Linked DNA regions of Danio rerio. The protein of the gene in region 1 purifies or fractionates together with the protein of each later gene. This does not show direct contact. Links are inferred from orthologs where the notes say so. Each region holds a gene or a part of one and is shown on either strand. Other genes may lie near its edges. The genes, in order: bach2b and mafk.

The links.
Region 2: the proteins of bach2b (region 1) and mafk purify together in Homo sapiens (co-immunoprecipitation; 3 studies listed by BioGRID and IntAct, with this or other methods). This does not show direct contact. The link is inferred for Danio rerio from reciprocal best matches to the Homo sapiens genes BACH2 and MAFK.

What each region holds. Positions count from the first base shown.
Region 1 is NC_133195.1:26,610,221-26,614,054, forward strand, and holds part of bach2b (transcription regulator protein BACH2), read right to left. Parts: coding exon 2,961-3,834; intron 1-2,960. UniProt on the Homo sapiens protein: Transcriptional regulator that acts as a repressor or activator. Binds to Maf recognition elements (MARE). Plays an important role in coordinating transcription activation and repression by MAFK.
Region 2 is NC_133178.1:42,010,123-42,013,956, reverse strand, and holds part of mafk (transcription factor MafK), read left to right. Parts: intron 1-898; 5' UTR 899-932; coding exon of another isoform or gene 933-941; coding exon 942-977; intron 978-3,411; coding exon 3,412-3,834. UniProt on the Homo sapiens protein: Since they lack a putative transactivation domain, the small Mafs behave as transcriptional repressors when they dimerize among themselves.

The DNA.
Region 1 (3,834 bases):
AGACTACGTGGAACAGCACTGTTTACTGATGTTTTGTTGTTAAACTAAATAAAAATCTACATAATCGATGCTGTCAAATTTCCCTTATAAAGCAGAAAATAGTCACATCAATCTTTCACGGGGAGATTTCAGTGGCTAAACAACATGTCTGTGCATATAAGCCATTCATAACACAACACAATCTAACATAAGCTTAGTCTGACTAAAATAGTTTTAAAACAGAACATACCTGTCTAACAGTAATATTTCAGCTATGGTGTCGTTCTTCCTCCAGCGTGCAAAAGTAACTCCAATATTGATTCAGGATTTTCAAAAGTTTTAATTTAGCATTTGATTTCACCGCGTCTGTGATAGTCTCGTGAACGCGTGGCACTCATGCAGGTGGGTACGCGCAAATGGCGGATCTGCGTGAACAGATGCGCAGAAGTCCGAATCTACATTTGCTGACAGATAGTTTGAGCTACTTATCGGAATTATGGGAGATGTCGGCCTGATAATATTTAATTGGATGAACATTTTTATGCCTTACCCCGAATATAAAAATACATATAAACATATTTAAATCACTTACTTTAATCATTACTATTGGACTGTGAAGAGACTTTAAACCAGCACAACAAAAAATGTTTCTGAAGACAATCACCTACTGCACCTTTAAGTTGATCAAAAAGCAGTGGAGATATTTATTATAAGTTTTTATGTAAAATTTGTATTGTAATTGTAATGCTTTTATTTTGAACTTTCTATTCCTTGAAGTATGTAGTCATAATCAGTTCTTAAAATACTTTAGTATAGGGACTATTTCCCACTTACAACAGCTTGCATACCAGCTATTATTACATCTAAAGCACATACCTAAACTCAACTGGCTATTCGTTCTCGAGTGTTACCATGGCAACGGACCAGTTTCTCCATGATGTTCCCAACATGCTTTCCTGAAGGTCTCATCCTCATCTCTAAAGATGATCTCTCCTTTATAGTGCTTTGCTTTTTAAAAATACACAGCATCCCTGGGGAAATCTTATACAACTCAGATCAGACAACATCCTCTATGCAACTTCATTCTTATATATGCTTATTGATTCTTTCTCTTTATACTAAATCAGTACATTTAAGCTTTCTTTAAATAATGTCTTACTTTTCATTGTTAAATTATAATTATTAGTAATAAATAGATAACTACCATTTTCTCTTCGCTTGATTTATATATATATATATATATATATATATATATATATATATATATATATATATATATATATATATATATATATATGAGCAATTCCAGCGTTATGGATGTGACATTTGCAGTAAAAACTCAACACATAAATTGACAGAGAAAGTATATGTTAACATTATATTGAAAAATTTAATTATATTTCTAAAGCAACTAGCCACAGAGTTATGGAAGCAGAAAAATATCAATCTGTAAACGTGTTTTGTACTTTAAATGAGGAAAATAAGCATGCGTTATGGATGTGACAAAAAAAGTCTGCGAGTTTACAGTATACAACACACTTTGTAGAAATTATGTGACTTAAACTGCACAACCCAAAAGAAATAATGCTAATCAAAAAGATTAGAGTCGGCTCTCTATAAAACAAAATTGCTTGGTTTTATTTTATTTAATATTTTCACATTTCTGAGGAAAGTGTCGTTATGGATGTGACATCTCTCTGTTATGGATGTGACGCATCTGAAATTACCATTTGTGTGACTTTGGTAAATCAAATAGAATAGTTTGAAAACATTGACAGATGCATTTTTGAGTATTTTTAAAGTACTGTAAAATACTTGCTTACACAAAAAACCCAGAAATGGTTTCCGTATTTTGGTAAAAACGAAAACAATTTTCATGGCAAGGTTGACATTTGCACGGAATTGCTCATATATATATATAGTATATACAATTTTGCTGTGTTTGTTGTATGTCAAAAGAATTATATATTATGTGACCTAAAAAAGAAAGACAAACAAACAAGTAAATAAATATATATATAAAAATTAATTTGCACTACTTGATATTTCATGGACGGTGCCATTCAAATTTTTTCTTGTATTTTTTAAACAGATTAGTCAACTCTAAAGAATAACATTCATTTAAATTGAAGATAGTTGGTAATATTAGTAGTGTAATTATTGCAGTAGTCCCTGCTGAAAAAACTAAACAAAGTAGCTTGCTTTGTATTAACCAATCACAGAACAGATATGCACCCCCTTATAGTGCTCTGGTATGCGAGCAACATATTGGCATTTCCTATTCTGCATTCAGCATTCATTTCCTATTGAACATTACTGTTTTGCCTCCATAAATCTACAAATGTATATATTTTAAACCATTCCTAAGTAATTGTTTTTTGCCCTTTTTTGCTTTAATTTTCACAACTTCATTGTACTATGCACTGCCCTATAAAGGCAGTAACCATGTAAACACTGACAATGTGAAATATAGAGTCAGTGTTTTGATCGTATTTTGATATGAACAAAGGGAATGTTTGTCCGAAATCACGGGCGGTCAACAAGTACTTACATTCATGTTTATTCAAAGCCTGTATGATTTTAACTGAATGATCCCTTTTAACGCTTTCTACTTATTTCAGTCATTGCTCAGCTTTTGCAAAATATGTATCCACTTCTCTGCTTCTCTGTCACTATACACAACAGCAATCCATTGTCAAATTGAGTTTGCTCCAAAAGGTCAGAGTAATATCATTGCAGCTATTCATGTTCCTGTCAGTTCAGTCATGAAAATGATTACAGTGTTTATTGCTCTATTAGCAGTCAGCAGCTTTATTCAATGAAGAAGTAAATAGAGATCAAAAGGGAAGTCTCTGATAGCATGAAGGAGCATGCGTTATCTAATTGCTTTCTGCATGAATGGAAGCTAGAAAATGCATAGTGAGGTTCTGGAAAAAATTATTGGTAAACACAATGAGAGAAAAAAAATTCAACAGACTCACCTCAGGGCCTTGCTCTCGAACATGACATGATTCACTGTCCCCCTCCGAAAAGGACCCTGACTCATCACTGGAATTGGTTCCATATGACTGCTCACACTTTATCTTGGGCCGTACCCGTGCAAATAGTGCATCCGTCCCACCACCTGCCTCTTGTTGGTCAGAGGTGAGACACCGCGTCACATTGGGGCAAGGCGAGGGTGAAAACTCAAACTGCGGCAGGCTGCAGGGGGACCCCCCGCTTCCGTCCTCAGCGTAAGAATAGGACGAACAGGAACTGGAGGTCCGAGTGCGGGTCTCTGAAGGGGGCGATCGTGGGCATACCTTAATTGGCACTGGGCAGCTGGTATTGGGCCTTTGGCGGCAAAGCAAGGGCGGGTCGCTGGCTGTGGTACTAGGGGAGTAGGTCTGAGAGCTGGGAAGGGACTGGCTGGCGCCGGCCCACAATCCCTTTGGCATGTGTTCTGAGAGCTCCTTCTCCAATGAGTTCCCGCTGGGATGGGAGTGGGTGGGTGTACCCAGTCGGTCACAGGCCCCTGAGGAGAAGATGACACTGCGGCGGTCCGGCTCCACCTCTTGCTTGCACACACCATCGCAGGAAGGCGACTTCAACGAAAGCCCTGGCGGGAAACCATCAGTGTCTTTGGGGAACGCCACAGGCATGCCAAACTCATTGCCAAGCGAAGGCCTGTAGTCTTTTTTGTGGTCTCCCTGAGTGGTTCCTTTATCCTGGGCGTTGATGAGTCTGTTAGCTAAGAGCTGCTGGGGTGTGCTGGGCAGGTCCTTCTTGAACAGAGCCCGTAGGCAGGTGGGTGACTTGCTTCTGCCTTTTGGTTGGTCCACTGTGATGGAACCATCCAGGTCCATCTCAGCCACA
Region 2 (3,834 bases), on another chromosome or scaffold:
CTCAGGCCCGAATGTAATGTGAGTGCGGACCATCGGGGGAGACGGGAAGGGGGACAAACATGCTTTGGCCCAGTTCAAAGCAACTGTACATATGGTGAATGTGTGTGTGGATGATTCCCAGAGATGGGTTGCGGCTGGAAGGGCATCCGCTGCGTAAAAACTTGCTGGATAAGTTGGCGGTTCATTCTGCTGTGGCGACCACGGATTAATAAATGGACTAAGCCGACAAGAAAATGAATGAATAGATAGATAGATAGACAGACAGACAGGCAGACAGACAAACGGCTAGACAGACATGTTATTTCCTTTTGAATATCTATTATTATTTTTTTTGTTTGTTTCTCCCTTGTGCGTCGAGCTTATGAATGAAGCTTGTTTACCATTTTCTGGTCACGTGACACTCACTCCCACACCCTTTGAAGCGCGTCTCCATGGCTGCAGTCATGAGCAGAGTTCAGTTCACGCGCTCAGACGCTCCTGAAATGGAGCCCGCAAAAGCGCGTGTCTCGAGCTCAAACGCACACAGTGGACTCTTTTAAAAATAGCACAGTGGCCAAAATAGCCTCGCTTGAACCGCTAAGCAGAAAGATCAGACAAAGCCTCATGCCGAGCGCTGACCTGCTTCTATTATTGCCCTCCTGTAACGGTCTAGTGAGCCGCATCGTGAGAACGCGAGATCAGCAAGTAAACAGGGCAACCCTTGTCTGGCTGAGGTTGTGCAGTACTATACTGACCTCTGCTGCTCACTATAGGACACTTCATTCAACTCAGCAGTTTCATTGGAATGTTCTAACTAGTGCATTCACACAAAAGTGTTTCTCCGATTTTGTTAATTTTTTATTGCACATATAAGTGTTACATTTGATATATTTATTACGTTATTTTCTCTTTCTTTTAGACAGATTTTTGAAGAGTTCTGACAAGCTGCTTGTATGCAGGGCATGACGACTCATTTTAAAGCAGGCAAAGCTTTAAAGGTAAGAACACTTGTGTGTTGGGAAGATTAGATTTTTCATAAATGTAAGGCCTTAAAGGGTCTAAATTCAAAGCAAATCTTAAATTTATAGAACGATTAAATGTTGCAGATGCAAAGATTAACATATTGTTACAAATATCTACACATCTTTAAATCAACATGCATCTACTTAAGATGTAAAATTAATAAATTGTTTTTTTTTTGCGAAATCTTTTAAAAATCAATTTAGCATAAGACAAGATTTCTAATCACATGCCAATTTGCTTTAAAAGTGTGTCTTAATAACGAATCTAAACATTTACATTTTGAAACGAAATAAAAAGTAATTTAAAGTCATTGTTGTTGTTTTATTTATTTTTGGAAGATAGAATAAAGTTGATCTTAATATTTAGTGTTTATGATACCGCTTATTTTTTAAAAAGTACTTGAGCATATTACCATTTGACAGCATGCTAATATTTAATACATCTAAAATTTACCTTATTAAAACTTTCAGGAACCCGTATGAAATAGCTACTATTGCAATTTAAGCTGAATTTAAGATGCCATTTATTCTTGTGATGGTACAGCTGAATTTTCAGCATTACTCCAGTTTTCCGTGGTACGCAATTCCTCAGAAATTATTCATATTTGCTGATTTGAGGATCAAGTAACATTTTTGAAAGCCTTTGTATAATTAATTGCTTTTTTTGTTAAAATTGTGATCAGGTAATTTTGTTAAGGTACATGGTGATGGGTAAATTTTATGAATTTTTTTTTTTTTTTTACGAACAGAAATTATAAATTAAAAGCATTTATCTGAAAATTGAAATAATTTTTGATGAAATTAATCTTTTATGAATAAAAAAAGTATTATTATTATTATTATTATTTAAAGTGCCATAGAACTGATACATGCTTAAATTGTTCCCTGAACTCTTCATAGAATGTATGTGGCTTAGGTAAGTACAAAATCTCCAGAAAAGTTTTTACAAGTCTATTTAAAACCCTACACTAAACAAAATTAGTTTCCCGTATTTTGTGCTTTGTGTTTTTATTTATAGATCTTTTCCCCACCCTTCTATTTATGCTTTTAAATTGCATGATGAGACTTTGATCTTTCTTCTTACAACTTTTAACCTTTTAAAAAAAGTGACTTTTATTAACATTTTGAATAGTTTAAAGTGATATATTGTCTGGTTTTGTTCTGTTATTTTACATGCTCATTTCTCTCTATATTATTTCTTATACAATATATAACTAAAATGTCAATAAAAGTCACTTTGTAAAACTGTAGAGTTGAATTTTCAGCGCAGAGATCAAGGTCCCATAATGCAATTCACAACCGTAAATAAACAGAAAACACTAATCCCTAAATACGGAAACTGTAAATGAACAGATCTTTTTAAAGCATAGGGATTTGTGCTACAATGAAAAGCTCAGTTTTCCCTTATTTGGAAAGATTATGAACATTAAAATATTCAGAATAAACTTATAATCTGATTTTACTCTATTGAGACTGTTGCATTAACTTACCCCAGAGCTAACGTCTGTCCCATTTTCAAAATATGAGTCCAACATAAGTTGTTTTAAACTGAGAACATAAGAAAACATTTCTATCTCACTAGGAAATGTTGTGTCCAATCAAAGGCTGCTGGGGTGCATATTGATTATCCCACATGTAACATCACAGTCTGTTATGTTCAGATTCACGTGTGGTCTTTTAGTCAAGTAAAATGTTTATGAGAAGAAGGAAACAGTGGTGTTTGACTCTTGTGGTTTGAATTATAATTCAACCATGCATATGCAATTTTTTTTCATTCTATGGAAGAGATTTCTGAGATTTAAAATTCTTAGCATGTTGATGTACTTGCGACTGAAACAGAATATTGAAAAAGGGCCAGAGCTGTCTTTTTACACATCATTCCCTTATAGCAAACTAAAGATAAAAGGGGCATGGTTAAGAATTTTGTGACTGAAGCCATCAAACTGACGTCAATAGACCCAAAGACCACCACTACAAACATGGATCAGGGTGGGGCCAAGCTGGAGCGCACGCTCTGATCCCCCTGGCTCTGCAATGGTTTGGGAAATTAGAAATTGAACCGAAAACAAACAATTACAGATGGCCTAAGATTGACAATGCAAATTTGGGAAATGTAACCAGCAGAAACTGGGAATTAAAAAAAAAACCGCATGGAATGGTCAGACTTTGATTAATGATTACCAAAACAAACATTTTTTTTCTCAATGAAATAACTTGCAGTTATTAGTTTAATCACCTAAACAATAACAGTGTATGCTAGCAATATAAACATTGTACTTTTTGATTGCTCATGTACAACTTTCCAAACTTTGTAAATTTACAGATTCCTAATTTTTTTTTTACATTTGACTTGATTATGAAAACTTTATCAAGCACAGTCTCTAATGTCTGTTTCTGTGCTATATTTCAGGTAAAGAAGGAGGCAGGTGAGAATGCTCCGGCGCTCAGCGACGATGAGCTGGTGGCCATGTCTGTGCGGGAGCTCAACCAGCACCTGCGCGGCTTGACCAAGGAAGACGTGGTGCGGCTGAAACAGCGGCGGCGCACGCTCAAGAACCGCGGATACGCTGCCAGCTGCCGCATCAAGCGCGTCACGCAGAAGGAGGAGCTTGAGCGGCAAAAGACGGAGCTGCAACACGAAGTGGACAAGCTGGCTCGAGAAAACGCCAGCATGCGACTGGAGCTGGACGCGCTTCGAGCTAAATACGAGGCCCTACAGTGCTTTGCCCGGACTGTCACCCGTGGGCCGCCCGGTAAAGTGGCTGCTACCAGTGTCATCACGATTGTCAAGTCTGCCAATCACAGCCCAAGCTCCGCCCCCTTTTCAGCACAA